Lepisosteus oculatus: one gene and its partners. The protein of the gene in region 1 purifies or fractionates together with the protein of each later gene. This does not show direct contact. Links are inferred from orthologs where the notes say so. Each region holds a gene or a part of one and is shown in the gene's direction. Other genes may lie near its edges.

Region 1 (7,378 bases):
CACCAGTACAGACAGACATCTGGAATTATGTTTTCACTTCTTTTGCCACATAACATTTACATAAAATGAAGTTCAGGAATGGACGGTTTGGTTTATTCAGTGTATGAATTGCAGACACCATGATGATTGACTAAAAAGGCTAAACCTTCACACTACAGTATACAGTATATGATTTGGCAGAGGTTCTATATTCTAAAAGTATTGAAGTAAATAAAATCATGGAAATTGCACTCTTGTGTTCATATTTTAGCATTTCAATGCTGCCTAAAACTGAACCAGGGTAGTTAATGACTGAAACCTAGACACTGTCTTTTCTAAAAAAACCCACAGCTGGTGGATTTTAAAGAATGCATCTTGAAGCTGCTGGGTCTGAATGTCAACACCATGGTCGCGCAGGAGAGCGACATTCTGGCTCAGCTGGAGAGGCGTCTGCGAGACTCACAAGGGGGCGACGGGGGCCAGGTGAGGAGAGACAGGCCTCCAGGAGGGACAGCCCCGAGCGACCCCACACCTGGCAGGGCTCAGCCGAAGGCACCGGGCCTGGCCCCCAACCCCAGCGCCACAGTCCAGCACGTCATCTCTGCCAAAGCTGCGCTTCCAGCGAGCGAGTGGTGAATACAAAGCACAGAACGACACCTCCCTCGTTCTGGATGTGCAAAAGTACAGTTCAGCCCTCATTTCAATCACTCAGATGGACAGACTACAGAAGAATGGCTGGCATCAAACACTTGTCCAACAAATGCATTACAGATGCACAGAGACTAACATTTTTATTACCCATCCATTTAGCTTCAGTGTGATTCTAATGCAACTGCAGGTCACTAAGAAGTATGTCTAATTTTAGCTGGTGTGTATTTTCACCCTTAAATAAAGAGTGACAACGAATGCAACATTTAAAGCGAATAGATCTGAGTGAAGGTGTCTACTGTATCTTTAAAAAAATGATTTACATTTAAGATCAGTATACTAATAGTCCCAGTCATATCTATAAGCATATTGCTGGTAATGATAAATCTCTTCCTCCTTTGATCACAAAACTCCTGCTGCAATATTGCAAACCATTGTTGTTTATAAAGGAAAATGGTGAAAGTGGTGAATTACTTCTGAGATAGATGCCTGCCTTTACAAATGTCCAGATACTCTTCACATTCTCCTCCACAGGCTGCGATTATTGAAATTGTAGATACAGTGTGGCAGAAGCCTGTAATTCAGAAATGATTAGGGCAGAATCCTCCGTTTCAACCTGCACATGATGTAATGAAAGACACACCGCATTGCAGATAGCAAATGGAATTCAATTTGCTTTTTGGTTCTGTATCTTCAATGATTAAGGCAAAATGCGTAATTTATGGAACAAATTACTTACCTGAAAGATAAATTATTTCTTGTCTGAATTAAACTGAATGGGAACAGAAGTGAATGTGGAACTAAGAACAGACTGTTACTTTCTTTTGCCATTGTACTGCACAGCTAGGTTCACAAAAATACAATTCCAGTTAACCCAGGTTGAAATACTTGTTCAATTTCTGAATAAAATAAAAAAAAATGGAGATGTCATAATATTTTCAAAGTGGGACCCCATCTGTCCAACGAAATGACTGATATTGAAATACTTAGTTTCATTCTTCCAGCATTAAGTACTGTGATGGAGACAAAACACAAAATAATCCCTAAAAATTGACTAACCTGTGTCTGATGTTACTCACAGCAATTCTGGAAAGATTGGCATCCCTTCATGGGTCACACCACATTTATGCTTACAGTATTACATTCCATGTGTTTATACTGTATGTGTCTGTCATTTTTGTTGTCCGGCTGTTAAAATATACCTTACAAATAAACAGGGAATATTGGGTTCCCTGCTAAGATCCCCCTAAACTTGGCTAATAGAAATGTAGGACATTTATCAAGAATATTGTCTTGCCAGACCTCTAACAGAGGGGGCCTGAGACGAAACAATGCAGTTCTTTCACACTTCATCGGGCTACATGGGCTGTAAATATACAGCCGATAAAGAGCCAAGTCCATCAGTAAAACACCAGAAGAATAAAGCAAAGAGTGAAGAGGGAATCCTCCTCTCAGAGCTCACAGTTCTCCTGGGCATGGCTCCCAAACCACCCAAACAGTTTCAGGTTAGCAAACGGGTTCCGAGTCCCAGGATCCACTGGATTCCTTCTTTTCGGAGTTCCAGATGTTTCCAACAAGTCTATGTATTCTAAGAGCTTCAGTCAAATTACCTGGATCATTTCATTCATCTTCATGTGGTGTTCTCCTTGAATTCTGGCAACATATTTCATTAAAGCCAGTTGTTATATAGTTCTTACCGGGTGTTTTTCTGTATTTCTGGGAGTATTTCTCCCAGATTCGTTTCTCTTTCTATTTGTTTTGAATGGCTAAAATATAAGGTAAAGGAGAACTCTTTAAACCAGGGGTGGCAAATTCCATTTTTAAACTTATTAAAACCTACAGTATATTAGATTAACCCAGCATTAATACATTGAATAACCCACTAGGAATTGATCCCTGAAAATCATTAATATTTTCAGACAAACTTCAGACTGTTGTCTTATATTAATGTTTTGTTTTTCATTTTCTACTTTGTGGGAACTGCTAGGCATTTATAACGAGCATCATGTGCAGAGCCTAACCTAAATCTTATATATTTTCTAAGTCCCTACCACTTCCACATGTTCAACTTTAAGAGCCAAAAAAGACATTCATTTCATATGCAGGTATCAGCCACTAAAAGCAGCCTCTCTCTGAACTAAACACCCAGGAGACCACTTATCCCCCAGGAAATCTAATTCTGCCCTTGGAGAGAAGCTCAAGAGCCAAAGCTTCTTCCTGAACCCGAGATTACTCCAAAAATTGCTGATCAGAAAATAACAAAGCAAAACCAAAAAAAAAATAGAATTAATGAAACATTTACTTCTTTCCTGTTTTCCGGGAAAGAAGAATTTACCTTCTAGCCTTTCTGGGGAGCAGGTTTTTATTTAATGTTTCAGAGAGAGAGAGAGAACAGAGTGCTGCCATCTTTTGGAAGACAACTGTACCAACAAATGGCTTTGACCAAAAATAACTGTACCCTATATCAGACAGACACTATCATTCCTAAAGTAATTTAATAATCTTGTTGTGATTTAAAATCCACTGTCTCTCTGTGAACGAGCTAGCTTTCCTTTTTTCTAAGCAATGCAACATATTTATTCTAAAGACTCACGGGTTGGGCGACTGGTGGCACAGTGGTTTGCATGGGCCCTGGCTGGAGATTGTATTTTCTGCCTGTGTTCATGTGGGTTTCCTCCCACAGTCCAAGGACATGCCTGTAGATTAATGGGTGTGTGTCTCTGTGTGCCCTGAGAGGGACTGGCGTCCCATCCAGGGTGTACCCTGCCTTGCACCCGTTGCTTGCTTAAATAGGCCCTGGCTCCCCTTAGACTCTGAATTGGAAGACGATGTCAGAAAACAGATGGATATCCTGGAGAGACAGTATTTTCCTTCTACTGTTTTTTTCTATACTTGTAACAATCTGAAATGCATAGTGCATTCTCATAGAGCTTGGAATTGTGGATAAAACATAATAATTGAAGACATTCTTGTACTAGGGTATTTTTATATTTGTATCCACAAGGACCGTGAGCACAAGGGAATATAACAGACCCTCCAAACAGTTCAGTTACAGTACAGTATGTGAAAAGTCGCTGGTGTTCACTGCTTTGGCTGGTCTGAGGATCGCTGGAAAAGTTGTTTTTTTTAATGTTGAGGAAGAATATCTTCTAGCTGGTCACATGAAGGCATCTCCTTCGACTGTCTGGAGTGTCAGGAGGGAGTTACTATTGCGAAGAGCATTGCTACTTTTCTCCAAACAAGTGATGAGAACTTGGCCATCTGCACAAGGCAGATCAGTCACTCCATTAACATTGTATCTCTTTCAAAAATAAAAGAAAGGCTTTTATAGATATCGGTCCAGTTCTATAGGAACTCTGTAGAGAATTGGGACATTTCTATTTAAAACTATAAGTCATCTACTGTATATGGTTATTTACATAATGTGGCTGTCTATTTATTAGTGCCAACTCTGAACATATTCTTTTTGCTACATATTCTTTGAGCCCCCTTTGCGCTGTCGCGTGGTTTAGACCTCAGACTGAACACAAACAGCTTTCTATTAAGAGCAAAGCGGAATATGCGTCCCATTCCTCGTTGCAAAAAAGGTCGCAAGTTCAAGGGATGTAGAGGGCGGGTTTTGGAGGGTGTGGGAGACCGTGACGGCAGCGGCCGTCTCTTAAGTGAATGAAGTATTACAGAAAGCAGCAGAGTTACAAGCAAAAAGGGCTGTTTGAGCATCTCGGAGAGAGAGGGAGACTGCGCGCAGCCTGAGCCGCGCAGCTCTGAGTGAGACACGCCGTGAGAATCCTCTCAGCGCTCTCCCGTCTTACCGGTCCTAGGTAGTAGTGCCAGTTAGCGGCTGATATACTTTTTGTTTTACTACGCTGTACAGCTGGACACGGGAGAGCGGGACCTGCTGTTGCTCAAGAAGATACAGTAGTTGTGTACTGTTTCATCCTCCTGCTGAAGGGAATATACCACAGTACAGTGGCCGTTCCTTCAGGTGTGCGAGAAGGCAGGTATGTTCGCTGGCTGCATCTCCGTCACGCACAGAGATTGATTAATCGCCGTTTGTCAGTTTTCAATGGACTCGTACTACGGTTGTGTTTACTTAGTATTTCAGACAGAGTTCAGTCGGTACCAGCATTTTTAACACCGGCAAACATGGCAAGGGAAGTTCTCGTTGAATTGCATTTCAATTGTACTTTAAAAAAAAAAAAGAAAAGCCGTAATATAAATGAGAGAAATATAAATGGTTTACACCTATGCGCAATTCAACCATATACTGTATCTTTTAGGGCTGCCGACTGCGATTCACATGAAGAAATACTGTAGGGTGGTTTTCCTGCTACGATTCACAATATCACAAAATTGAACTTTTCTCGTTTCTTTTAGCTTTGGATATGCTTAGTTGGAGCAAACAAATCCTGTAACCAGTGCAGTGGGTTACTGACTCGTGTGCGTTCTCATTTTTGTTCATATCTTATCTTATATTATGTGTATCTTATGTGATATTCCTTGCGATTTAAGAAAATGAAACATGTGTTGCCCTGTAAGTAGGAAATAAAACAGCTTTATAAATGACGTTCACGATCAGTGTGGCAGAACAAACCGTTATTTATATTAACGAAACCTCCTTGCCGATTCCTCCTGCAGTAGCGAAGTAGTAAAAACTTTAATGTTCTTGTAACTGTACGAGGTTTTTCCGTTATCGATTGGTAATGACGTTGCACACGCGACTAAGTAGCAGTTCACCACCAAGGGCTATCCGTTTTCAGCCCAGTCTCTTCTGAGGCTGAACTGTAAAGTTGTTGCTGTTTCTGACTGGGCTGTTAGAACATGGCAAGATGTTCAACCCGGAGACCGCACGAAAGGGTTGAGAGCAGATTTCTTTTTAATTTATGTAAAAACTCTACACTCCGGGTAGTCAAAAGAAACAGGAAATCGCCCATTTCTGTCATTCCCCCTAACTGTTTTTACAACTGAACCGCTTATTTCGTACAGGAGTTTATTAGTACACTGTTTTAGTCGTTGTGGTCGCTTTCTCTGCTTTTTTAAAGAAACACTTATCGTGTTTCTATTTAGAGTGTTACGGCACTGCTTTGACAGCATTGTTACCCTCTCTTTTTAATTAACCAATTCGTAATGCTAACTCTATGTTACGTTTAGCTCTTTTTTCTCTTTCTTAAAGCAGCAGTTTAAAAGTTGCAGATTATTATTTTTTTAGATCTGGGCCATACACGTTTTATGCTCAGTTGCTTTAAATCAAAGATACATGTTTACTGCGAGGTGTAACAGCCAGCTGCACAGTAATGTGTACAATACCACGGATCAGTGAGTCCTACACCTTTATCGGTTGGAATACAGGTTTTATGATAATTCATCTGGACAACCTGTTATTTCTGAATGCCTCTGCATTCCCAGTGCCTCCCCTTGAGTCAGTGGTATGTAACAGTGCCTGGTTCCTGAACATTTAGTATGTCGGCGAATATTTATTTTTACATTTTAGTTATTTGCCACAACAAAGTTTAACTTTTCCGGTTCCGAAAGAAATAATTCTCGCCGTGAAGTGTGCTCATTTTAGCGGGCGCTGTGAAACAGTCTTCAATGTTTCGCTCACAAAGAGCAGTGAGTTTCCAGTGCTGCTTAAACCTTGGTTTCATTTCCTAGAATGTCTTGCTGTTTGAGTAGAGTAAAATAAGGCGTAGAGTAAAAAAAGGTCTTCGTAAAAAAATGGAACCGTTTAATTCTGTAACTTGTAACAAATTGATTTGGTAGGGAAAACAGCTTTCATTTCCGAGTGTTTTTTTTCTTCAAAAGCACAAAACACTCGACACTCGACACTGGACTTGTCCGAAATTATTGGTTTATTACAGCTTTCCTGCTTTGCAGCGCACTACCTTTTAGAAGCTCATGGATTCAGTGAATTACAAAAGGTGTGGAAATGGTTCTGGACATGGAGTTTGCAGTTTTTGAAATATTAAGAACAAATTAATGCGGTTTTGGAGACGTTTGGTTTTCATACGGCGTACCTCTGCGTGTCCTGAGCAGTTTCCTGTGAAAGCGTGGTGCAGATGGGTGATATGTACTGTAATATCACTTGCAGGCTCCCGGGATGCCCGAATTTGTTTAAATTGGAAGGTCCTTGTCTTTTCCTCTCACCCATGTTTTGTGAAGATAACTATCTACAGGCAAAGTTTCACTTTTTCATTATTATTTCAGTTTATGAAGACGGGGAAACAATGGTTTTGGGGAAAATATGACCCAGGGGTATACACTTTATGTATTGTTTCTGTTCTTTTTTTGAATGTTTCGTCTGTGTGAGTATTTTTTTGTGTCTAATTGATCAAGGACATCATTCACAAGAACTGCATTGTGTCTTCATAATCCACAGCTACAGGTAATGAAACCAAAACGAAGTTCCAACAACTTACACCAATACGTGGGTTATTTAGTAGACGTACTCTATCAGAATCATAAAAATGACACTGGTCAGCAGATCAACTGTTGGGGCTTATGAGAATGATTTATTATCGTTACCATTTCTCTTTTCATCAGATCCGATATAGGCATTGGAGTGTTAGAGGCTGAAACAGGTTTCTGGGAGAGGGACTGAAAACACACAAGTCTCATAATCTGAATACTCTACACCTCCTCCTGAGCATCTCACATAAATTAGAACTGTGGTTCCCCACCCTGGTTCTGGATGAACACTTTGTCTTCTGGTTTTTGCTCCAGTCCATATTCTTAGTCACAGGTTAATGAGAAT
Region 2 (8,179 bases), on another chromosome or scaffold:
AAACAAAGGAGGATACACTAAACACCTAGTTCAGGTAAGACACCTTCCTTACTGGTTATATTGGATTTTAGGAGTTGGATTATTATCTGTACTCAATGGCAATCTGATGGAAAGCCTAACTAGACTAAAGGCTCTGTGAGTGTAGGAGTTTCTTTTCTCCTTGTGACAGTAAGACTTTATTTTAAGCAACTAGACTGTAAAGTTTGAAACATCAGCTGTTCTGAACCGAGGAGCTCCCTCAGGCTGACATGAGTGGACACAAAAATATAGCGGCGTGTAAAAATCAACATTGCCCCTCAGTAAAACATCTCCGACGTCAGGTCTGTTTCTGGGTTTTTGATCTGAAGTTCGGCGTTTAGTTTGGAAATAGTTATATATTTGGTTTAGTGAATGAATTACTAAACATAGTGGTGGCTGGGATAGCGTCTCGCTGCCAAAGACTAAAAAAACGTTGAAGAAAAGGTGTTGCTGATTCTACAATAGCGATCTTGAGATCCTTTACCCGTGAGTGACAAGGACGTGGATCAACTAACTTACCTCCACATTGCCGCAGGTTTGAAAGGCGGTAAACATAAACATAAACCCGAACCCCAAGATGACGATATTAAGAAGCATCTTTTTATCCGGACCCATCTCGCGATCTTGTCCTTGTACCCAGCGAAGGGACCTCGGCAAATCCTACAGGGTGAAAGACAGCAATCAGTAGTTATGTGCCTCAGAGTTCGTGTCGTTCACAGGTATGTACACCCTGAAACAACCACACAGCTGTACCAGGAAATCACTAGTTTCACCGCAATAGGGGCATATTATACTCATCGTGCGTTTGCTTGAAATCACCTCTACCTCCTGAGATATGAATTAATAATACGGTTGCGAAAGCATACCTCCGGATAATATCTATGCGGCGTTACGGGACGGGCGTGGATGTCCGCAGTTCAGCTTTTCGTACTGCTGGTAACCATTCTGAAATCGTCTCAGCCCAGACGAAGAGTCAGATGATCTATCCGTAGCTACGGTTTTCCGTCGGGCATGGAAACTATAATCCGCCGGTAATAAAGTACTGCAATTTACTGTGTGTGCAAGACCGAGACTGATGAGTTGTCATGTGAGGAGCTCAGCTGATCTGCGAGACCGCAGCAAAGAGGCTTCTGGGATGTGTAGTTTTTTTAATTTACCTCCCGCTGAGCTGCGGCCGCAATCGAGTTATAAAGAAACAACCAGAGAAATTCTGGTTTCCGCCCAGGCCACAGAACTGAAACTGCATTAACAAGAGATTTAAATGATATTCTTTTAGCAACTGACGCAGGGAATCCAACAGTGCTCCTAGATTTTAGTGCTGCCTTTGACACAGTTGACCATTGTATTTTGCTACACGGGCTTGAGTCTGAGGGTTGGCCTATGTCCTTAAGTGGTTTACCTCCTATTTAACTAACCTTTCACTATGTTAAAACATCTAATATTTTTACTGCTTTATCACTGTCACCAGTCAAATTTGGGGTACCACAGGGATCAGTGCTCTGACCAGTATTGTTCTCTCTGTACGTTGCCACTAGGTAGGATAATACGAAAGCATAATATTACCTTTCATTCCTATGCTACACTAAAATATACATTTTTAATTTACACCTAATGACAACTTGTCAATTGTCACTTTAGCTAATTGCATTAAGTGAAGTCTTGGATGTGTGAAAACTTTTTGTCACTCAGCTCTGATAAAACTGAGTTTCTGTTGTTTGTGGGCTACTGCTGTTGTTTGGATAAGACTGCTATAACCTCAGCACTCAACTCTGAGGGTTTAAAACTTTGCCTCAAAGATTCGGCACGTAAGGCTCTCATTTAACTCTCATGTTAATGCAGTATCGAAGGTGTGCTTCCTATAGGTAAGAAAGATTGCAAAACTAAGGTATTTCCAAGACACAGAGAAACTAATACATGTTTTTGTATACAGCAGATTAGATTAGTGTAATGCCCTACTATCAGGGATCACCTATCGAACTTTCCATACCTTACAGCGAATTCAAAACTCAGCAGCTAGAATTGTTACTAGTAGTAAAAAGTATGGCCACATAACAACTATACTTAGCTCTCTCCATTGGCTTCCTGTCAGGTACAGGACAGACTTCCAATTTATTTTACTTACTTATAAGGCTCTCAGAGGTCAGGCACCTGTCTATTTAGTGGAGCTGATTAATGTATACAATCCAAGTTGCCCACTTAGATCGCAGAATGCAGGTCTTCTTTTTATTCCACATATTAATAAAAAAACAGCTGGCAGTAAAGCCTTTAGCTACAAGGACCCTAGTTTATGGAATAGTCTGCCTGCCTACGTACGGGATGCCAGGTGAATCAAAGGATTTAAATCCAGATTGAAAACCTATTTTCAAACTATCCTATTCTCCTCCCCATATGTCCAGATGGCACCCTGACTGGGCATCATCTGAGTTGGATGCTGCATCACCGCCATGGATCCAAGAAGGACATTGCGATTTGCTGGTCTACAGAGATCTGCATGGAGTACTGACACACATTGAAAGTTGATTATAAATGACAAATTCTTCAATGTATTTGGACATTTTTCAGTTATAAAAAATGCTAATTAAGTGCCTATCTTAAGTGCTCACTATCACTATCACTTATCATTTTTAGTCCTGAGTTAGGGTGATGCAAACTCCAAGTCTGTCATAGGCTGGAGTGAAACTGAAAATGGTGCTCTGGAGTTGTTAATGTATTATGTGTTGTCTTAGTAGCAATCAAGGATAGAGTGTCTGTCCCTTATTGTCAGGAAGACTGTCACTGCTTTTTCGCTAGCCAGAGCCGGACATTGGACACATATGCTAGTCTGTATCTGTAGGAATTGAATGTCTGTATTTAATCATGGAAATGAAACGTGTACATGAATCTACATGAATGTTTATGAGATAAAATAACCCAACTAAATATCAAGTAGAGTAATACGCCTATATAAAATTGTGCTGTCAGGTTGTGTGATTCAGAGTTCAAAATAATACATCAGCCCTTAACTACAGAAACTGATTGAATATCACATGCAATTAAAACATTTTTACAGTTTTCTTATTCTTTAAATTATTTAATGTGTTAACATTTTTAAAGAGGAGAATAACCAATAATCGCTTAAACTGGTGTGTGCTCCATTCTATCAAAAAAGAAAGAACAGAATCAAACGGGACACACACATTTTCTCACATTCAGGAAACCAGTAAGGAGTCTCAATTTTTACACTAGAATCTTACGCTTTGCTCCAGTCTTTGGTATCTCTGACCCCGGAGACAGTGTTGTAATAGGTTTTGGAAAGCACACAAAGTACGCGTAGTACATAAATAGACAGAAGGGCACAGATTTAGTTTCCACACCAGTTTCATAGTTTGTCATATGCTCTCCAGTTGAAGAGGTTAGTCTACAATCTTTTAAATATTGCTCGTCCTTTTACCTTCACTGTACAATGCTCGGTATTTTAGTATATCATATATTTACAATTACTGTATTTGTAATCACAATGAAATTATTTTTTTTAAAGCCTACGTTTTTGTGAGGGTAACGAGAGTTCGGCGAGGGGATACTTTGTGGAGACGCAGGAACAGGTGTAAATGTCCAGTCTCTATCGGCTAAGTAACTTATTACATTAGATCATATAAACAGTAACATTCAAAACCGCATCAGCTAGTTTAATTAGGTTCTCACATGAAATAGTTGGCTTCATATTATGCTTGATTTATTTATATTCAATTAATGTTTCGGTTATTGACACTGCACGTGCCTCGTGTAACTTTCGAGTTAATTTACTATGTATTTTCTGCATGGTGTGCTTTGAATGACATACAACGGCATGCCAAGATCCCAAAACTCACATATACTGTATAGTCTATATTAAGATCCTGTGAACTTATTCCTTTTAAAACGTTATGTTTTTTTAGAAGTCGAGTATTTACGTTTACTGTTTATAATATAAAACGATATCGATAAATGAAACGATAGACTACTATACTTCTGCTGCTACGATTACTGTGAACAACAACTCTATAGTCCTACTGTTACTGAACTGCAAATGCGGTACCACTAGAATTGTACTACTGCTATGCTACTACTGCTTCTAAAATTAATAGTAATAACAACGATGACAAGTGTACGTGAACTTGGTCCTCTGGGCGGTAAAAAGAAACTTAGGGCCAATATCGTATTTTTAAGTTCCTGGTTACATCATCAGGTTATTTTTGCTTGATTTAAATACATACAGTACTAGAACCACCCTTGCCAGATCTCTTCTTTAATCTGTCATTGAACTATAAAAGAACTGTGTACATTCAGTAACCATTCTGTAGAGTAGAAACCAATTTTAACCTACAACGTAGTGCTCCAATAATGCCCTAAAACACGGTTTATTTTCCACCCGTATCTAGATTTTTTTGCATTTTACTAACTTTCTCTCTCCTTGTAGTGTGGTTTAAAATCTGAGAGGAAACACAGCTGCAAAAATATTGACTGTTTCGTTTTAATGGACATTGGCAGATGCATTAAACTATAATTCATCGTTTCATATACAGTAATATAACTTATATTGTTACTGAGTTATAACTTTGCACGGTGTCATGTTTCGGTAGTTGTTGGCATTGTTAATCGATAATGGTTCCTAATCTTGGAAAAGCTCTGGACAACATGACTAATGACTGAAAGAACAGGAAGGCAAAATTGTACCTCACATTTCATACTAAGAGATAAATACTATGTACTTTTTAACACTCTACGTGGAGTTTCAATCGATTTTTCAAACTTCCCTACTAATGACCGTTCATATAATTAACTTCCGGTGTCACATCCGGTTTGCTAGGCAAAATATCACCAAAAACAAACTGAAAATAACAAGATTTTTATTTTAGAAATATTTTTACAGACTCAAAAGCGATGTTTATACCGTAATGTGTGGATACTGATTAATTTAGAATAAAATAATAATAGTTTTAAAAGAGTGTCTATAAATAGCAGCTTTTGGGCGCTCAATCCGCCATTTGGTGTGGAGAGCGAAAGCAGGGCTTGTGGTGCTTTGTTGGTGCGCGTAGCGTGGTTTTTTGTACTAAGTGTTACTATGGTTATTATTGGGTAGATTATCAGCTTGAAAATAACGACAGTGAAAGTACAAGTAAGTAGGGTGTCTGAGCGGGTTTGAGTTTCTAGACGGTGTGTTTTTGTTTTTTTCCTCTTGAGACAAAATGAGTTACGGTAGGCCGCCGCCCGATGTCGAGGGCATGACTTCCCTCAAAGTGGATAACCTGACCTACCGGACGTCGCCGGAGACTCTTCGGCGGGTCTTCGAGAAGTACGGCCGGGTCGGAGACGTCTACATTCCCCGGGACCGGTACACCAAGGAGAGCCGCGGCTTCGCCTTCGTCCGTTTCCACGACAAGCGGGACGCCGAAGACGCCATGGACGCCATGGACGGCGCGGTGCTGGACGGGCGGGAGCTGCGGGTGCAGATGGCCCGGTATGGCCGGCCACCGGAGTCGCACTACGGCCGGCGTGGCGGCCCGCCTCGGAGGTACAGTGGCTACGGCCGGCGGAGCAGGAGGTGAGGGCTGGGCGGTGGAGCTTCAGCGGGTTAAACGGCGCTGGCTCCGGGGCTAGATAAACCGCATTGTGGGGGAGACTCCTGGATGCAGAACAAAGAACTGCAAAGTGTAGTAACGCGCGCACACTCTGCTTTTATAGAAAACGTGGGGTGAAGTTCGACATAATCTGCATTCAGGTTACATTTTGTGGAGGGATCTTAAAGATTCTCCACTTATGTGAAGATCTCCAGTTATTGGTAGTGCTTACGGAAAGTAATCTTTCCTGATTAGGTAAGGGGCTTACACTGAGTCGCAGGGGAGCAGGTAGTCAAGTTATGTATCGCCTAGATGGCGATATTCCTTCCGTTCAAAAAGAAGCGATATTTATAGGAGGGGCCAAGATAAGGGTTTGCGGTCTTTTCTTTTTGCAGTCCTCGCCGCCGTAGACGCAGCCGGTCCCGAAGCAGAAGCCGTTCCCGATCTCGCAGCCGATCCCGCTATAGCAGATCCCGCTCCCGCTCCTATTCCCGGTCCCGATCCCGCTCCAAATCCCGCTCTCCACGGAGGAGCAAGTCCAAGTCCGTGTCCAGATCCCGCTCCAGGTCCAAGTCCCGTTCCCGGTCCAGAAGTCGCACGCCGCCCTCCAACAGAGACTCCAAGTCCAGATCGAGGTCGAAGAGTGTGCCCAAGTCCCCAGAGGAGGAAGGAGCGGTTTCCTCGTGAAGTTATGGTAAGTGCAGCTGAATGAGTACATTCGTTGGCATTGGGGCATGTGAGTGAGCAGCAGCAGTAGGGCAGCATGTATTTAACACGATTGTACTGTTAATGGTAAGGGGGTAGCTGTTGAGGGAGGGTGTTGGGAGTATGGCATCCTTATGGTTTGCTTCAAGCATGATTTAAAAAGCTGTTCTATAATAGTAGTCTTTCTCCAGCCTTTTGTATCGGTTATGTGACACTTCTGCCTAAAAGGCAAGACTGAGAAGAAACTTTCTGGAAGAAACCCAAAAGGTTTTGAATTTTCTTGCTTTGTGATGTTAACTGAAGGTGCAATAGATTGGAGAAAGCTACTTGACCTGTACATTTCTGAACTTGCCGTAGTTTGTATAATGAATATACAACTTGCATCACTTTGATGTAATTTTTGAAAATTGTTCAGTTTCGGCAACTTGTATTTGTACATGAAGTAAATATTTTGCAGTTAAGACTGGTACGGAAGTAAAATATATTCACCAAAAATGTGGAATTTTCTCCTCCAAGCTGCTGTTTCCTGTTTGCAAAAGTGGAGTTTGGGGCAGTTTGTGCAGTTAGAGGTTGTGTGATCCGCCCAGGGGCCGCCTCCTGCTGTTGGGGTATGCTTTGGAGCAGGTCGGTCACAGTCAGTAATGAGGTGGTGTTGAGGTACGTCTGCAGGACAATGGAGAGGAGCCTTGCATTGTCCTCCAGGTCATGCGGTCATGACTGTGGGCTCACACACTAAAGCAGGAGAGTGAAAAGGTTTGTGCGCCTATTTGTTCATGTCAGGGACATAAAGGTCAAACTATTGTTTAAGTAAAATTTGCACTTTCCCCAAGACTTTTTCTAAACATTGGACTTAATGTATAAAATCCCTTTACAGTAAAAATACAAACCTATGAATTCTTTGGTTGCCTTTCCTACATCTATAGGCTGGTTATGGTGCTGGTTCTACACAAGCACTGAATTTTCTTGTCTAAGCCCTACATTTATCAGTAACTTAGACATTGGCATGGCTGAGGAGTGTCTACCACCTCACTTGCAAACTTGAAGGTAACGGCAAACTAAATGATGACTTCTGCAGTTAAACTGAGTTAGTCTTTGAATGTATAGTGATTTTTAAGTTTAATGTACAGTATTAGATAGTGCCTCTGAAGTAAAGGTAGTCAGCCATAACGCTTCTCTTGCCTTTGCTGCTTGCTCACCCCTTTCTCTTTCTTTCTAGATTGTTCACGTGAATGACCGATCCCACTGAGGACACCCCATCGAAAGTAAAGGTCTCAGGCTGAGGACCCCCCTTTCCCCAAGAGAAATTTGCTGGCTAAAAGGTTATTATTGTAAATTAGTTTCCAAGGTTTTAAAGGAGTTTCTTTTGCTTTGAGTTGCCTAGAATAACGAGGCTGATTTTTATTTTGTGCCATGTTTTCCAATTTCTTGTAATTCACTGAATAGGAAGAACGTCAGATACTTTATGGGCTTGTAAGTGAGGTAATTTGTTTTTCTGTTTTAATGTGATGCAGTGCTGAGGCTTTTTGTATATAGTTTTGAGTATAAACACGTGGCCCAGGGAGCATATGGTAGTCTAAAAATGCTATTTTCCAATTTTGGCTTTGCAGAATAAATTTGGATATTTCTAACATTTAGGTGCTCTTATTAGCACACATTTTTCTCCAGAAAGAGCCAGGAGAGAGCTGATTTTTCTCAAATTAGGATTTACCAATATTGAGTAGCTCAGTTTAAATGAATCCGGCACTGATTTAATGAATTGCATCTTTGTAAATGACAGTTTTTCTTATTGTGATTCTAATCTTTTCTCTTGTGTATTTTTTGTGCACTAGGCGCAGTTGTGTAGCAGTTGAGTATTGCTGGTTAGCTGTTAAGGTGGCGTG
Region 3 (7,388 bases), about 15 Mb from region 1:
AAGGAGCTTCCTTTTTAATAAAATGGCAAAAACAATAAGCTTTATTGTTTGTAGGTTGACCCAGTAGTGCAGTCTAGCACAGAAATACAGGACACATAACAAAGCTTTCTGACTTTCATAGACTGGGTAGAAAATAATTTATTTAGCAACATTAGTGCAATCCTTTCTTATCTTTGCAAGTACGTACTGGTAATGTCTTACAATATTTTTAAAAATAGTGGTTATAGTATGAGGCTATCCTTCTTAATTATTATCTTCCTCCTCCTGCACTGAAGTGAATAAGAGAACAGCTGTTCCTGTAAAGTGCTTTGCAGTGGAAGCCCTTCATTTCTGTGAATGCATACTCGCCTGTTTTCTGGAATGGTCTGGTGTAGTAGCAGGTCCTATACTGGAAGAATCCTGCAGTTGAGAGGTTGCTGGTTTGTGTCCACAACTATGCTGTTCAGTGAGTATATCGGCCTCACCTCTGTAGTCAGCACTACGCACTACACGACTGGCTGAATGGCAAGTATATAACACTGATCTCTCTGTTTCAGGACCACAACACAATAGCCACATGAAATGTTTAGACTCATGTTCAGTCAGAGCTGTTTTGTTGTGTTGTGTGTGGTTCAGGACCACAACACAAATGCCAGATGAGCTGATTATGCCCATCTCCTGGTGGAGCTCTGTTGTGTGCTCTATCCAGCTACATAAGGCTTGTGCTTATAGCTGATCATTTCAAAATTGGACAGCAGTTGTCTGCCTTTTTATCTAATTTTGTGAAAGGTCTACCTACCAGTCGCCAATGTGATCTTTATTACATTTTGCCAACATTTTAAAGACAATTATTACACCTTTGGGACAAAGCATTAAATATAACATTAAACTAGTCAACCCAGAAAACCTCTGATCTGCACAACACATGGCAGTTCTGAAATGTGATTTGATAAGTGTGATAAAGTACAGTTGTCAGCAATAACTCAAATATAAGTATAACCCATTATATGGGAGCTGTCTGATAGAATATGTGTGACATCCTACTGCTTTTGATCAGGTACTGCAGTAGCCCATAGTTTTTTCAGTATGACACAGCATGTGCAATTTTGAACAAACTTTTCTTACTGACACTTTATTCTATTGAAAACATGGAATTAGTTTTGCCCCAGAGTGATCATATAGGATTTTTATTGTCTGCATAGACACCTTGTTGTCCAAGGACATTTCTCTGACATGCCTTTGTTCTGAACTAAATAATAAAAAGTGATACCTATCTTTCACCTGTGCATGTTGTTCATTTACTCGGTCCAGTCATTAACTGTGTCAGGTTATTAGATGACCTATTGTTAAATGTAATTGTCTGGTCTTTCACAAAGTGCTTATTTTCCCATATCTACAGTATGTGTATATAAAATGTCTTACTTGAAGTACATTTAAATGCAATTTACATTACTTTTACATTTGCTAGGGGTGACTTTTTAATGACATTGAAATATATTAGCAGCTGTCTGCAGTCTGAATGTGTATCACACAGCAAAGATATTAATTTCTTAAAATATATTCTGCTCTTGTGAAATGTTCATAGACAAACCAAAAAATCAGGAGAATGCATATCTATCATCCCTTTAATGAACATACAATAAGCAAACATATTTTTAATTAAAAAACACAGATCTCTAATGTGACCTTGTTAGTTTTATCTTGTGTATTTCTTATTTCAGTTGTATTCCAATCTCCTCTTTCATATCTTGTGCAAACAAGAATATCTGTAAGACCACTGTGCTTGTTTTAATTGTATAGTACATTGGCCAGGTAGGTTTTGCCAATCTGAAATGATTAAAACAGAGTCAAAGAAGGAAATTGCATTAAATGTTTTCAATTCCATGTTTTTTAAGTCTTTGATGAAACTGTCCTGCTATTTATTTATTTGCTTCACTTCAAATTAACCCTGAATGAATTTCAATTTGAAAGTATGTTTGAGACAAATAGGTTATGTAAGTCTTTTCTTGTTAATTTATTAAAATAGGATTTAGAAAACAGCTTTGGTAACATCGTAGACTTCTGCTTTGGTCTACACTCAATTTGTCACATAGGAATTGATTGCAAAATTTCTCATTGTTGTTATGTTTTCTCATCAGCTAGTATATTGTTTGGAATCATCAATGAGCCAGGAGAATATAATAAAAAGTGTGTTAACAGCTAAACTACAGTATAGAAAGCACTGTCGATTCCACTGAAACTTTGATTCTCTGAATAATGCCTCAATTCTTGTGTTCCTTTCAGCTTTTTCTGGATTGTAAAATGGATTGTCCCACTGACTCTGGGGGGGATGTTGCTATCTTGTAGTTACAGGACTTGCCTCTGACCTTGGGCCGTGTAGTTGAACTCCCTTCCACTTTGTAGGATTGGTATAGTCCACTCAACTGAGCTGCCTGAACCTTGAAGTGAAAAATGAAATAAGCTTGTCCTTGAGGAACACTATGCCATTAAGGCCAGGCCCTTATAGAAATAATCTTTAGTTTCCACAGAAGGAATTGATTTCCAATAGTAATCCTGATGTGTTGTAAGATACAATTCCAACAAACTTCTGCAAAACAAAAACATAGATGCTAGATAATCATTTCAGTTTCACTGGATTCCTTCACACTTATTTTGCAACTTTCTAAATCCTAACTAAACATATTTCTCTTTGATGAGATAAAGTACCCAGATTCAATTACACAGCATACACATCTTACAATTCATCACGTATTAGTGAAACAAATAAGAAGGCATGAAATAACTCTTAAGTGGTTACTAGTCACTGTGCCTTGTCACAATTGCAGAATCCTTTTCCTTTTTCAGGAGGATTGTAACAAGATATGCCAGTGATGCTTTAAAATATAATTGTCCCACATACAGTAGTGATTTCAGCAAAAGAATGTGTGTCTACAAACATAAGCTAATGTTGGCCAATACCTAAATTAATTACAAATCATATTCATGTGTGACTGATGGCAATGTGCCTTGACTGTCCCTTGAAATGTTGAATGTCATAAAGAATGGTCACTAGAGCAATGAATGAATTAAGGCTCTTCTTACAGGCCAGTGAATTTCATATATACTGTATATATTTCATGTGCTAAGGTTGTGTCTGGGGCACAGTGGTTGTGCCCTACAGTATTAGCCTTATATGTTATCCCTCTCTCTTGTCCTGTGTCAGCAATAACCACAGAGAACGTTAACTGAAGTGGGCTTGCAGCAAATAGCTGCTCTGATGGCAAAAGGCAGAATACATCTGTATCACTGCAGGTCCCACAATGTCCTTCAGTGTACAAATCTTGAGAACATTCAGCATTCGGAGACAAATTCCATATAATGACACCCAATTACATCTCCCTCTAGTTTTCTGTTTCCCTTCTTACAATAATGACAATGCGCAAGGAGGTCATTAAAAATGTATTTAACTGTACCTATTTCAGGCAGCACGGTGACACAGTGGCTAGTATTGCTGCTTCTCAGTGTTAAAGTCCTGGTTTCAGTCCCAGACCTGGGGTGCTAACTCTGTAGTTTGTATGCTATCCTGTGTTTGGGTGGGTTTCCTCCCATTGACCAAAGACCTACATGTAGGTCAATTGGCTACTGGGACAACTGCCCCTGATGTGTTTGTGTCCGAGTGCACTCTGCAATGAACTGGTTTATCTTGCTCTGTGCCCATTGCTTACCAGGTTAGGCACTGCCTCCCCCACAACCAGGCATTGGATAAAGAGGTTAGAAAATGGATAGATGTACATATACATTTGTTTTAATATAACTGAATTAACTACATTTTTTTTCACATCATGACTCGTTATTGGTAATTATTAAAATGATTACCATAATCCCATAATAGCGACAATACCATAAGGCTGTAACGGTAGGAGTGGTAGGCCCGTTGTGAGCATCACCACCTTTACATTGAAACAACCGAGCAGTTTTTTCTAGTACGCTGTTGTACTCTAAAATGACTCCCATGATATTTATTCTAGACAACAAATACAAGTCTTTTTTCCCCAAACACTTCCTTGCAACTATGTATGATAAACATTAATACAGTTTCGCATACATAAAAACATAGTATAGACAGTCCGCACTATTACAGTGAATTCGGTTTTGGTTTTCGCTATAGCAACTACACCCATTCTCGTGTTTACTTCGCGAGAGAGGAAAAAAGGGTGGTGTCTCAGAACTCTTAGCTCGTGACGTGTTTATATGATCACTGACGCAACCATCTTAAAAACTGTTGATTGGATGTTTGTATTCCATACTCCACCCACTAGCTAATTTGGATACGCCTCGTCCGTTGACGCCCATTTCCGCTGTACTGCTCGCGGACTCGCAGTCGCCATTTTCCAGCGGAGAATCTGAAGGAGCAGTAGGTAGGTGTGTGGGTAGTCGGCGAAGGTCATTGTTTAAATGTTGTTTAAAATGTAGTATACGTAGCTTCTTTTTATATTGTGCAATAATACAGAAATTGATTGCTCGCCAGTAGTATTCAGTGTATGTGTAAAAAATACGTGTTTAATCGGCATTTTCGCCAATTTTCTCTTGCTTACACAACATGAGGGGCGCTGTTTGCAGCGCCGCATTTGTCGATCGGTGATCTCGATATTTTTACCTTGCTTTCTGTTCCTGTAATAGAAGAACCACATTTTCATGAACAAAGATCTCTAAGCTTTGGGAATATTTAACTTTAACCCTGGTAACTGAGCGATTAGTTAAAATCCGAAACGTAGTTTTTTATTGTTATTTACATGTTAAAGGCTAGGTAAAGTGGCTCAGGGATGGGGAAAAAATAAAAACTGTACATTTTTCTTTTTCTTATTGTTTGGTTGAATTTACGTTATGTTAAGTTCCGTAATGGCTGCCTTTGAGCATATATACGTTTGGATGCGAAGATGGCGTGTCGTAGGCCCTGCAGTGGTCGTGATGGGCGACGTCGCTTTGCAGGCCTCGCGTTTTCTTTGGAGGGGCTGGTCGATTTGCGTAGGCCTGTGCTACGTCAGCCACCCCTGGGGATCCAAAGAAGGCCTAGTGTGAGCTGCAGCTCCTGTCAGCTGACTAGCGCGTCGAGGCTTGGTCTAAAAACGGCGTGGACGTGCTGCCTGGCCCGTGGCGTTCGCGGGTTTACGTATCCATGTTGAAGGATTGCTTCCGCTGCTCCATCTTATTTCCGTTTTAGATTTTAATGTGGCGTTTTGGAAGCTTTGCATTTCATGATTGTATTGTAGCCTCAACAATTTTTAACTCTTAAAAATTCAACTCATCTGGAACCTTGCTTAATCCCCCGTAGGTATAACTACACATACATAGTCTGCTACAAATAGACTTTTTACGTGTTTTAATTTATTTTTATTTTTTTTAAAGCGTTGGTTAAACGTGTTTCTAGACTGCTGAAGTGTCTAATTAGTTTATTCTCTTAATGTAATCGAGAGAACGTTTAAAATAGCTAGTTTTCCGGTTTACATTTTTGTGGAAATGGAGGTTATGATTGGAAAGTTGATATTTATATTGTGGGAGGCTAAGACTTCGTTTCTTTGTGCAGCTGTAAACATGAGCGGTTGTCGTGTCTTCATCGGGCGCTTGAGTCCCCACGCCAGGGAGAGGGATGTGGAGAAGTTTTTCAAAGGCTACGGGAGGATTCGGGAAATCAGCCTGAAGAATGGCTTTGGGTTTGTGGTAAGTTTATTAGTGTGTTTGTATCATATTTTATCGAATCGGGTGCTCACATTGCTTGTGTCTTATAAGAACGTTTAGAGCATCAATTTTTGTCTGTTTCCTAATTCTGCAGGAGTTTGAAGATCACAGAGATGGTGATGATGCAGTCTATGAATTAAATGGCAAGGAACTCTGCAGTGAAAGGTATATTTTTAAATCTGTATGCCTTAGAAGTTACAGCTGTTTACAGTTGCTGAACTGGAATTTTTTTGTTGAAAGTTGAATGTTGGGATTGATCAGCTTGAATTGATTTTACACTTTGATTTCACTACCAATGTATACTTTTGATCACCTTAATGTAAAAGTGATTTTTAACATATTGCTTTAAGGCATGATCACTGTCCCAAGAATGCGAAGACTGTACAACTTGGTTAGGTGTCTGGCAAAATAAAACCTCGATTGGCATGAAATCTGTTCCTATGGTACTGTATTTAAGTTGGGTTGAAATTCTCGTTGACCCAAGCCTTATGTGCCTTACGATGTGTTTAGGGTCACCATCGAGCATGCGCGCTCTCGCAGAGGGCGGGGGGGTGGAGGCGCTGGAGGAGGTGGCAGGTTCTCTCCCCGCTTTGGCAGCTATCGCCAGTCTCGCAGCAGTGGCTCACGGTAAGCAGCCGTCTTCTGCCAACAGCTCGCCGTTTCTAGACTTGTTCAGAGCCAGACAGCACGTTCTGTTGGAACCTCACCTCGAACCCCAAAATATGTTGTGATTTGGGGATCCTAAAATGTTTTGCAAAGAGCCCCCCCCCCAGTCATAAAATGAGAATAGATTGTGATTTATATGTTCTGAAATGTTTTGGGTATGTAGAGGTTTAGAAGTTGCAAGTAATATTGTAAAAGAAAATCAGATTTGGTTGGATTTTAAAATGACTTTCAGTTTTTAGAATGATCTTTAGGTACACTAGCATGTAATATGAAAAGGGGACCTCAGAAGTGTGAGACTGGGGATCTGTAATGCACATGTAGTGCCTTTTTAGACACTCCACTCAAAGGTAATGGGGATTCCCCTCCACCACCAATGTGTAGCCCCACCTAGATGATGCAATGGCAAAGTGTGCCAGTAGGGTCACCACACATCAGTTATCAGTGGGAGGAAAGCAGTAATAAAGCCAATTCATAGATGGGGGTTGTTAGAAGGCCAGGAGGAAATTTGGCCAGGACACTGGGCTAACACCCCTTCTCTGTAGCAGTGTTGGTATAGGGACCATTAAGTCCTTTTGTTTTCTGCATCAGCTGTAGGAATGGATTGCTTTGTTTTCAAAAGGCAGTTTTAAAGCCGTCTTGATTGCTTTTTCAGGTATGGCCCCCCAGTGCGCACAGAACACAGAATCATTGTTGAAAACCTCTCTTCTCGGATAAGTTGGCAGGTGAGGAGGCTCAACAGGATTCACTTTAAATTTGTGGAAATTGCATATTACTTCAGTGTTTGTTCTGTTATATGAAGCAGCTTTATTATTTTATAAAGTGGTGTTTTAAATTAAAATCCTTTGCTATTTGTTTTAAAAACATCACACTTTTTTCCCCTCTATTTTAAAGGTGATTTTAAATGCAGATTTATGACTTCCACTCTGGAATCTCAAATTGAGAGCTGAAGTTCGAGAAGCTGCTTACCTTTGTCTGGCAGCAAGTTCACAACCCCACCCCTAACCTTGCAGGTGTATCTTTCTCTCATC
Region 4 (7,342 bases), on another chromosome or scaffold:
TCTTAAAGGGAAAATCTTTTTTTTTTCTTGGAACATGAACTGTGCCAATGTGGTTTACTCTTCCGGAGAACGTGAAAGTTTTATACAAATCTCCGCTAACCACTCAGGTTTAATTTGCACTCGACTCTAGCTTTGTACTGTATTAAATGTGATTTACTGCATACAAAATACACATATAACAAATATTGTATATTGCTTCCAAAAAGAAATGAATAACACTTGATTTAAGACAATTCATTATTAATAATGTTTCAAGAATAAAGCGATACGAGCTTTTTTCGTTGTCGGGGACGTAAAAGAAGGAAATTGTACTTGATATTCATTATATTTCAGTTGATACATGTGTCAAAATTTAAAAACAGGGTGCCGTGTAAAAATCGAATAAGAATGAAAGGAATTTGGCATTATCTTGCTTAGAGGAGTGTTCTTCCTTAGTCTACTCTTACAACATTTACTCACAAGTGCCTTTTAAATTCTAGCCATAGACTGCAGAGTGCAGCTTGTGTTTTCTTTTATATTTCTCTAAATTGTATACCAACCACGCTACATTTGTAGTGTTTTAGGGCCACAGAAAAGTTCACAATGCCAATGTACTGTACTTCTTTTAAAATGCAGAGGCGAGCTAGAGTCGAGGTCTGTGATTTAGATCATTCCTTGTTTTTTTTCTTCATATCCAGGCATTTGCAGTTTGCTCAAGAAGAATGGACATTCCTGAATTATTTGTCTTTCTGGATTTTCCTTTAGGTAAACTAAGGGATACGGAAGAAGGAATCCCACTGACAAGTTCCATCTCTGACCTCCGACAGATTGATTCCATGGTGAACAGTCTTGAGAGCCAGGCCTGAAGAAAACTGAGCCAATGAGCAATCTTTTGTGACTTGGGGTAAAAGTGTTGACCTCAGCTTAAGATACTAACGTTTACAAGGCATTCACTGCCAGTTTACAGACAAAATAGCTGCAGTTCTCAGAAAATTGTAACTGGAAACTGATTTCTTGGCATGACAGTCTTATAAGACCTTAGTGAGCGGTTGATTGTTTATATTTCTTCTTATCAGGAGAAGTTGAAGAAAAAGACCAACTCAAATGAATCAGGCTGGATATAAAGGACAAATACAAGGTTAATGCTGTCCTTCAAGTGTGTGTAAGATCAGGAGAGTCCTCAGCAGATATATTGTCTGCAGCTCCCTGGTCTGTTACAAATGCATCATCACATCCGTCTTCATGAAGAGGAGACTTGTTGAGTTTCTCCACATCTCCTGGAGTAATCACACATGCCAGTGTGTTATGTAGAAATATTAATGAAGGATTGGGAAATCTCTGGCAATCACAAAGGGCAGGAGCCCCTTTAGAAATGAGCTTTCATTTCTGTGGTTCATCTGTGTCCCTGTCAACATTGTCCATATTTACAAAATGTTGAATTTTTAATTTATTTGGTTGACACTTATACCCAAAGCAACTTTCCCAGCTGGAAATGTATTTTTACTGGAGCAATTTAGGTGAAGTACGTCTCTCCTGGGATCTGAAGCCACAACTTTCCAATTACTCCAGAACCCTGACCACTGCTCCACACTGCTGTCTTAGTCTATATTACACGATACAGTATTTTACTTACTGTTGTTTTAAGCAGTAAATAAAGTACTGTACAACTTAAATATTGAAATCTTAAAATGCAAAGAAGATTTGGATTCAAACAGATGTTAGTCCTTAGTAGGAAAGCGATAAACCTGTGAAACCGTCAAGGACTAGTTTCTAGGGATTTGTTCTGCAGCTTTCTTAACACATTGGTACTGTATCTCAATTTCTCTAACAAGGTCAATTAATTGAAACTGAGATACCTGTAGGAAAGATGTTGAGTTTAATTTAATTTCTCTGATATCAGCTGAAAGACTGATTCATCTCAAAGTTAGTTTACAATGATCGCTGGTGCAAATTGCAAATTGCTGTCAGATAAGTAAAATACTGAAAATAAATTTTCAATTTTTACAGTATATTAATGAATTTGAACATCATGTATTTAGAAAATGGATGTAATTGTTTTTGCACAGTTATGGAAATGACATATTCAGTTCTCCCTTTCATACATTATCATTTTAATTTTTAAATATTGAAATATTGGTAGACCTGCACTTTTCCTTGTTAAATGAAGTTTTAGTTATGGTTTATCAAGAGCGTGAATCCATTAGGATTAATGTATTTAGCACCTAAAGTAATTTTATGTACTCTTAGATAATACTCAGGGCTTTTTAGATACATTTTCATTTTGATATATATGGAACCTAATGGCCTTTGAACCTAATGAACCTTTGTAACCTTTATTTTGTTCTTACCTATTGTAAATATTTATGTATCTTTAAAAATATATAGACAAAAAAATGATGAAGTTTAAGATAACTAAATCTTATTTTACAAATATAAACACAGTAAAAGTACTATATATTTGATTAGGTTTTAATTACTGATGCTTCTATACTTGAAGAACATTGTATATTGTCATTTGTATTTTTTAATCTTTAGTAATCTTACAGTACGATATAATGCTAACCCAGTAATATGTAACACCAGTGAAGTTTATGCTAGCATTGCATTCTAAAATAATAATCAGTGCTATAAAAACAGACAATCTTTTTTATTAGCTCCAAATTATTGTGAACATTTCCTTTTTATTTTGCTTTTTGTCAATCTATGTGGGGAAGTATAGAAGTAATGGATTCAACTAATAAAAGATTATATAGCTATTTTGCAGTTTTTTATTTTTACTTGCATAGTCTCAAGATTTATTATTTTGTGTTGTTTTAATAAAATTGTTTTAATATTTGATCAATTTGTTTTAAATAATTTATAAAATGCTGCTAATGGTGTAATTAAATGAAATTCACATTTTAAAGGTGTCTTGTTTGTTCCTTTTCAAACTTGTGATAAATTAAAAGTTCACCAGCTTTGCTCCTGCTATGCTTTTAATGCTGGAAATCAGTTATCCTGAGTGCTATACCCATGTCACTTCACTGTTCATTGCTTAGCACTTCTAAACATACAACCTATAACAATTTACAACAGGTTTAATGGCTTAAGACATAACTTTGGCTTTCTTTAGCCTTAGCAGCTTTAAGGTATCAGTTAATTTCCATGTCATTAGTACTAGAAGCTCCCTTTACATTTTGTGCTTTATTCAACTTTCTACAATGAAAATGTTTCACTGACAGAAATTTCCCAATGTATTTCTTAATATTTGAAGTGTTTGAATTCATCAGTTAATCTTCAGAAATATGTCTTATAAGGACGATAAAATCCATTTGAACAGCGAGAAATTAGGTGCCTTATAGGGTCTGTTAATGTTAAGCTAGTCATACTTTTCAGGCAGTTGAAAATGAGTCATTATTGTATGACTCTGCTATTTTATCTCCATTTTCTAAAGGGGAAAGTGTTAAACAATGAAGCATTCCAAGGTACATTGTCAAATGCTAATTTAGTACTGATATAAAAAAGATATGCAACGGGTATAGTGAAACAGATATACGTGTCATTTTACCAAACATTTACTTTATTCTAAAGGAGGAACTGGAGATTCTAAATTAGTTTTTTTTGGCTACAAATTGAACTGGGTATGTTTGTCAAATTCCGGTGAAATGTACTTCTCTTTGAGAAAAGATTTCATAACTGAAAGAGAATTTAAGAGCTGAATATTGTAAATAGTGCGTGTAAACACCGGACTACTTACTACTAATATGTCAAACGTTAAATTCTAGAGCTGTTTTTATGTAGCGTATTCTACTTGATGTATTTTTGTTTACATGCAGGATAAACAATAACCAAGAACAGCTTTATACCTTACTTTTGGAACAGATACCCTCCTTTGTGTAGGGGGCGATGTTAAGAATTCATCACCGCTAGTAAAAAAAAGTCGTTAAGCTATTGGTCAGCAGTATTCGGAAGTGAAAAGAATATGCCCGTTTTAAAAAATATAAAATGTCGTCTCTTAAAGTGTTAAATGTGATCTTAAAATGCTTATTCTTGCATTTTATGTGACTATTGTTAGAATAATATATTAATTTTGTATCAAACTCATTATTTTAAATGAGGTATATCTAATAATAATCAGGCACAGTTTTGGGCAGTCTTAACATATTGGAAGGCCCCCGGTTGTCAAAGGACTTTCTTTGTGAATCAAAAATTAGCAGGAAAAGTGTCGCACAGTAGGTAGCGGGAGGCGAGTAATTGCTGACTGAAAGTGTTTCTTTTTTTCTTCGAAGACATTTTATTGTTTGAAGAGTCGAGACCGGAGGAGTAATAAGGGATTTTCAGCAAACATGATAACTTCAGCGGGTAAGGAGAGGATGCAGATGTGACTTAAGCAGTTGATTGCGACCCGGTAGATTTAGCTGAGTCACAGAGTCAAAAGACTGAGCGATGCAAATAAGTGTGTTTTGCCTTTTAAGTTGTACAGTATCTCATTATGAAACGTAGTACAACAATGTAAAATATTTTTATTGGACCCCCTAACCCTTAATGGGACATTTTACAAACAATCAGTTGTTGCTGATCTCGTTATAACACGGAACAAGTGAATAACAAGAAAAACAAACGTACCACGATTGTCCGCCGTGTGTCGGAAAAGTACCAATACGACCATCCGAGTTCACTACTAAAATGTTTTTTTTTCTAGTCTTTGTGTATTTGCGCGTGTTGTAAACAAACCTGTTTCAACACACATAACTGTGTTTCCCATTACAATGTTGGTCACTTTCCACATGGCAGCTGACGAGTTATTTTAGTAGCCTTGTAGTTGTGTTTGTTTACAGGAAATTCAGCGCGTCCCGCTGATTCTGTGGTTCCTATGTACCTTGTGTACAGATGTGCAACCAGAGTATATTCTAACTGTGGTAGATGTAGTCTACCATCCAACTTCATTCGTACGATCATAGGATGGCATTTCTAGACAATCGGTCAAAGGAGCTAAAAATATGTAGAGCAGTTGTCTCTTGCGTAACATTTGTAAGATTGTGTACAGACTTGTTTTCATACATTCGTTTGTCTTGTTCTTATAAATACAATTATTTGTTGTAAATATTGCATTTTTTCGTCTAGACATAATGAGGCTGGACCACCTTTTCCAGTAGTATTGCAGTGCTATCATTGGTAACTAATCTGTCGATGACCTTCTTACATGCCTTTACTGGAGCAGAAGATTGATTGTTTACTAACGTGGTATACTTAAAGGTCATTCATGTGTTCAGATCCACGTCTCTACAGTTTAGTGTTAAACATTTTGGTAGCTGTATTTGTCAACTCAGACACATTTCCTTTCCTTTTTTAGCTGGAATAATCTCTCTTTTGGATGAAGAGGAGCCTCAGCTCAAGGTGAACTGTTTGCCTTAAGTACACCTTATTTGCAGAAATAAGCTTGTGCATATACTGTAAAAAAACAGAGGTCCATTGATCTGAGAATCACAGAAACACACTGTTCTTGTTGATCTTTACACTTTGTGCATAATAGTTGTGTATAAGCAGGAGTACTGAACTTCATTTCTAGTACCTATGGGAATCGATCACATATATTAACCCTGGGACTGCATTGAACTTTAATGATGCCAACTTCTAATATAATTGTACTGTAATTTTTAATTTACTATGAATTTTATTTAATTCCTCAGGACTCTTATTTATATTGTATAGCACAGTTAAACTGTTCTCTTCCTGACTATAATAATCGTATGAGACGATAAACCTGCCAAAGGCAGTTCTGTGAAATCTGCAGTGTGTTGTGCATGTCATGAAAGTATCCTATGTTGTTTTCCTGAATATTTCTGATACAGGAGTTTGCTCTGCACAAGCTGAATTCCATTGTCAATGATTTCTGGGCTGAGATTTCAGAATCTGTTGGTAAAATGTAAGAATCTTTTTTTTTTTGGTCTCATCTACCTTTGTTATTCACAGATTAACTTGTCTCTTCTCTAAATGTCATTTCCTTGCCATATCAAGAATGGTTAAATACATAAATCATTCTGCACGCTTAGCCTTTCCAATTATCAATAGGTTTTATATAAAAATACATCTGAAATTATTTGCCGTGAATATTACATTATACAAGCTTGGAGCTGGTTTCCTTGTTACATAATTAAACCTTCCTCTGAGCTAACTGTTTCTATCCCGTTGATGTCTGATTAGTTAATTGTGCCTTGGGTGTAAACTAGGGTACTTATCACTAGATATGTTGTTTGTTACAGCTACAGTAATAATTAAAATAGACATTTCTTGGTCTGATCATTTTATGTTACTCTTTAAGTGAGGTTCTCTATGAAGATGAGACGTTCCGTAGCAGGGAGTTTGCAGCACTGGTAGCGTCCAAAGTTTTCTACCATCTGGGTGCGTTTGAAGAGTCTCTGAATTACGCTCTGGGAGCTGGAGACCTGTTCAATGTCAATGACGATTCTGAGTATGTGGAGACTATCATCGGTGAGTTCAGAAGTGTTAATGATAGTGATCGAAGTGTGTGATGAACCAGACTGTAAATGTTTAGAAAATGTTGAAGTGTCCTATTATTACTCTTTCTTTCTGCATATTTGATTTACCTCTGTCTCTTTTGAAAAGGTGGTGGAATTTCAGAATTAATTCTAATTAGTTGTAACACCAGGACAGTTGTTTTGAATTGTTAAATTGTTTCCTGCCCTGTAACTGTTATGTCAAAGTGGGCCACTTTGAATATTTCCAGAAACAAGATAAAATATTAAGACAAAAAAGAAACACTTGTACAAAGGAATCCCTCCACTTAACGCTTATACATTACAAGTGTATAACTGCATTTGGCGGTCATAGCTGAAGTGCTGGGAAGTGGCAGTTCAATCCATTGCTTCTTCTTTCATGCAGCAAAATGTATTGACTACTACACAAAGCAGCGTGTGGAGAATGCAGAGCTGCCGGATGATGAGAGGAAAAGCATTGACCCCCGACTGGAGGGCATTGTTAACAAAATGTTTCTGCGCTGCCTGGGTGACCATAAGTACAAACAGGCAATTGGCATTGCCCTTGAGACTCGTCGGCTGGACATCTTCGAGAAGACCATCCTGGAGTCTGTAAGCATTGACTGCGCTTGGCTGAACTGTAGCATCCTACACTTTTTAGTCTCTCTAACGTAGGACACACAACGTTATTACAGCTTTGTTTCCTAGTGATCGTTTATGGAGTACAATCTGTAATTTCTTATTGTTTTGTTGCATTGGAGTTCTATGGTAAACTATATTAATAAGTTCTAATATTTTAATTGTTGCATTTCCAGTGGTATTGATATGTGTATTCCCTGCACTTCTCCCAACATTTTCTAGTAAAGATGTGCATGGGATGGGAAAGG

What was found.
Region 2: the proteins of estrogen receptor beta (region 1) and srsf2b purify together in Homo sapiens (affinity purification with mass spectrometry; 3 studies listed by BioGRID and IntAct, with this or other methods). This does not show direct contact. The link is inferred for Lepisosteus oculatus from reciprocal best matches to the Homo sapiens genes ESR2 and SRSF2.
Region 3: the proteins of estrogen receptor beta (region 1) and srsf5a purify together in Homo sapiens (affinity purification with mass spectrometry; 3 studies listed by BioGRID and IntAct, with this or other methods). This does not show direct contact. The link is inferred for Lepisosteus oculatus from reciprocal best matches to the Homo sapiens genes ESR2 and SRSF5.
Region 4: the proteins of estrogen receptor beta (region 1) and psmd1 purify together in Homo sapiens (affinity purification with mass spectrometry; 3 studies listed by BioGRID and IntAct, with this or other methods). This does not show direct contact. The link is inferred for Lepisosteus oculatus from reciprocal best matches to the Homo sapiens genes ESR2 and PSMD1.

The regions. Positions count from the first base shown.
Region 1 is NC_090703.1:7,981,105-7,988,482, reverse strand, and holds the start of estrogen receptor beta, read left to right. Parts: upstream 1-4,320; 5' UTR 4,321-4,628; intron 4,629-7,378. Other genes in the region: coiled-coil domain-containing protein 170-like, read left to right, coding at 331-615.
Region 2 is NC_090704.1:35,480,626-35,488,804, forward strand, and holds the start of srsf2b (serine/arginine-rich splicing factor 2b), read left to right. Parts: upstream 1-4,999; 5' UTR 5,000-5,222; coding exon 5,223-5,578; intron 5,579-5,989; coding exon 5,990-6,281; 3' UTR 6,282-6,288; intron 6,289-7,515; 3' UTR 7,516-8,179. Other genes in the region: UNC93-like protein MFSD11, read right to left, coding at 538-633.
Region 3 is NC_090703.1:23,111,027-23,118,414, forward strand, and holds the start of srsf5a (serine and arginine rich splicing factor 5a), read left to right. Parts: upstream 1-4,270; 5' UTR 4,271-4,376; intron 4,377-5,542; 5' UTR 5,543-5,550; coding exon 5,551-5,676; intron 5,677-5,788; coding exon 5,789-5,859; intron 5,860-6,204; coding exon 6,205-6,321; intron 6,322-7,012; coding exon 7,013-7,082; intron 7,083-7,388. UniProt on the Homo sapiens protein: Plays a role in constitutive splicing and can modulate the selection of alternative splice sites.
Region 4 is NC_090708.1:8,526,755-8,534,096, forward strand, and holds the start of psmd1 (26S proteasome non-ATPase regulatory subunit 1), read left to right. Parts: upstream 1-4,148; 5' UTR 4,149-4,304; coding exon 4,305-4,320; intron 4,321-5,311; coding exon 5,312-5,355; intron 5,356-5,810; coding exon 5,811-5,884; intron 5,885-6,280; coding exon 6,281-6,450; intron 6,451-6,861; coding exon 6,862-7,067; intron 7,068-7,342. Other genes in the region: uncharacterized protein C2orf72 homolog, read left to right, coding at 745-845.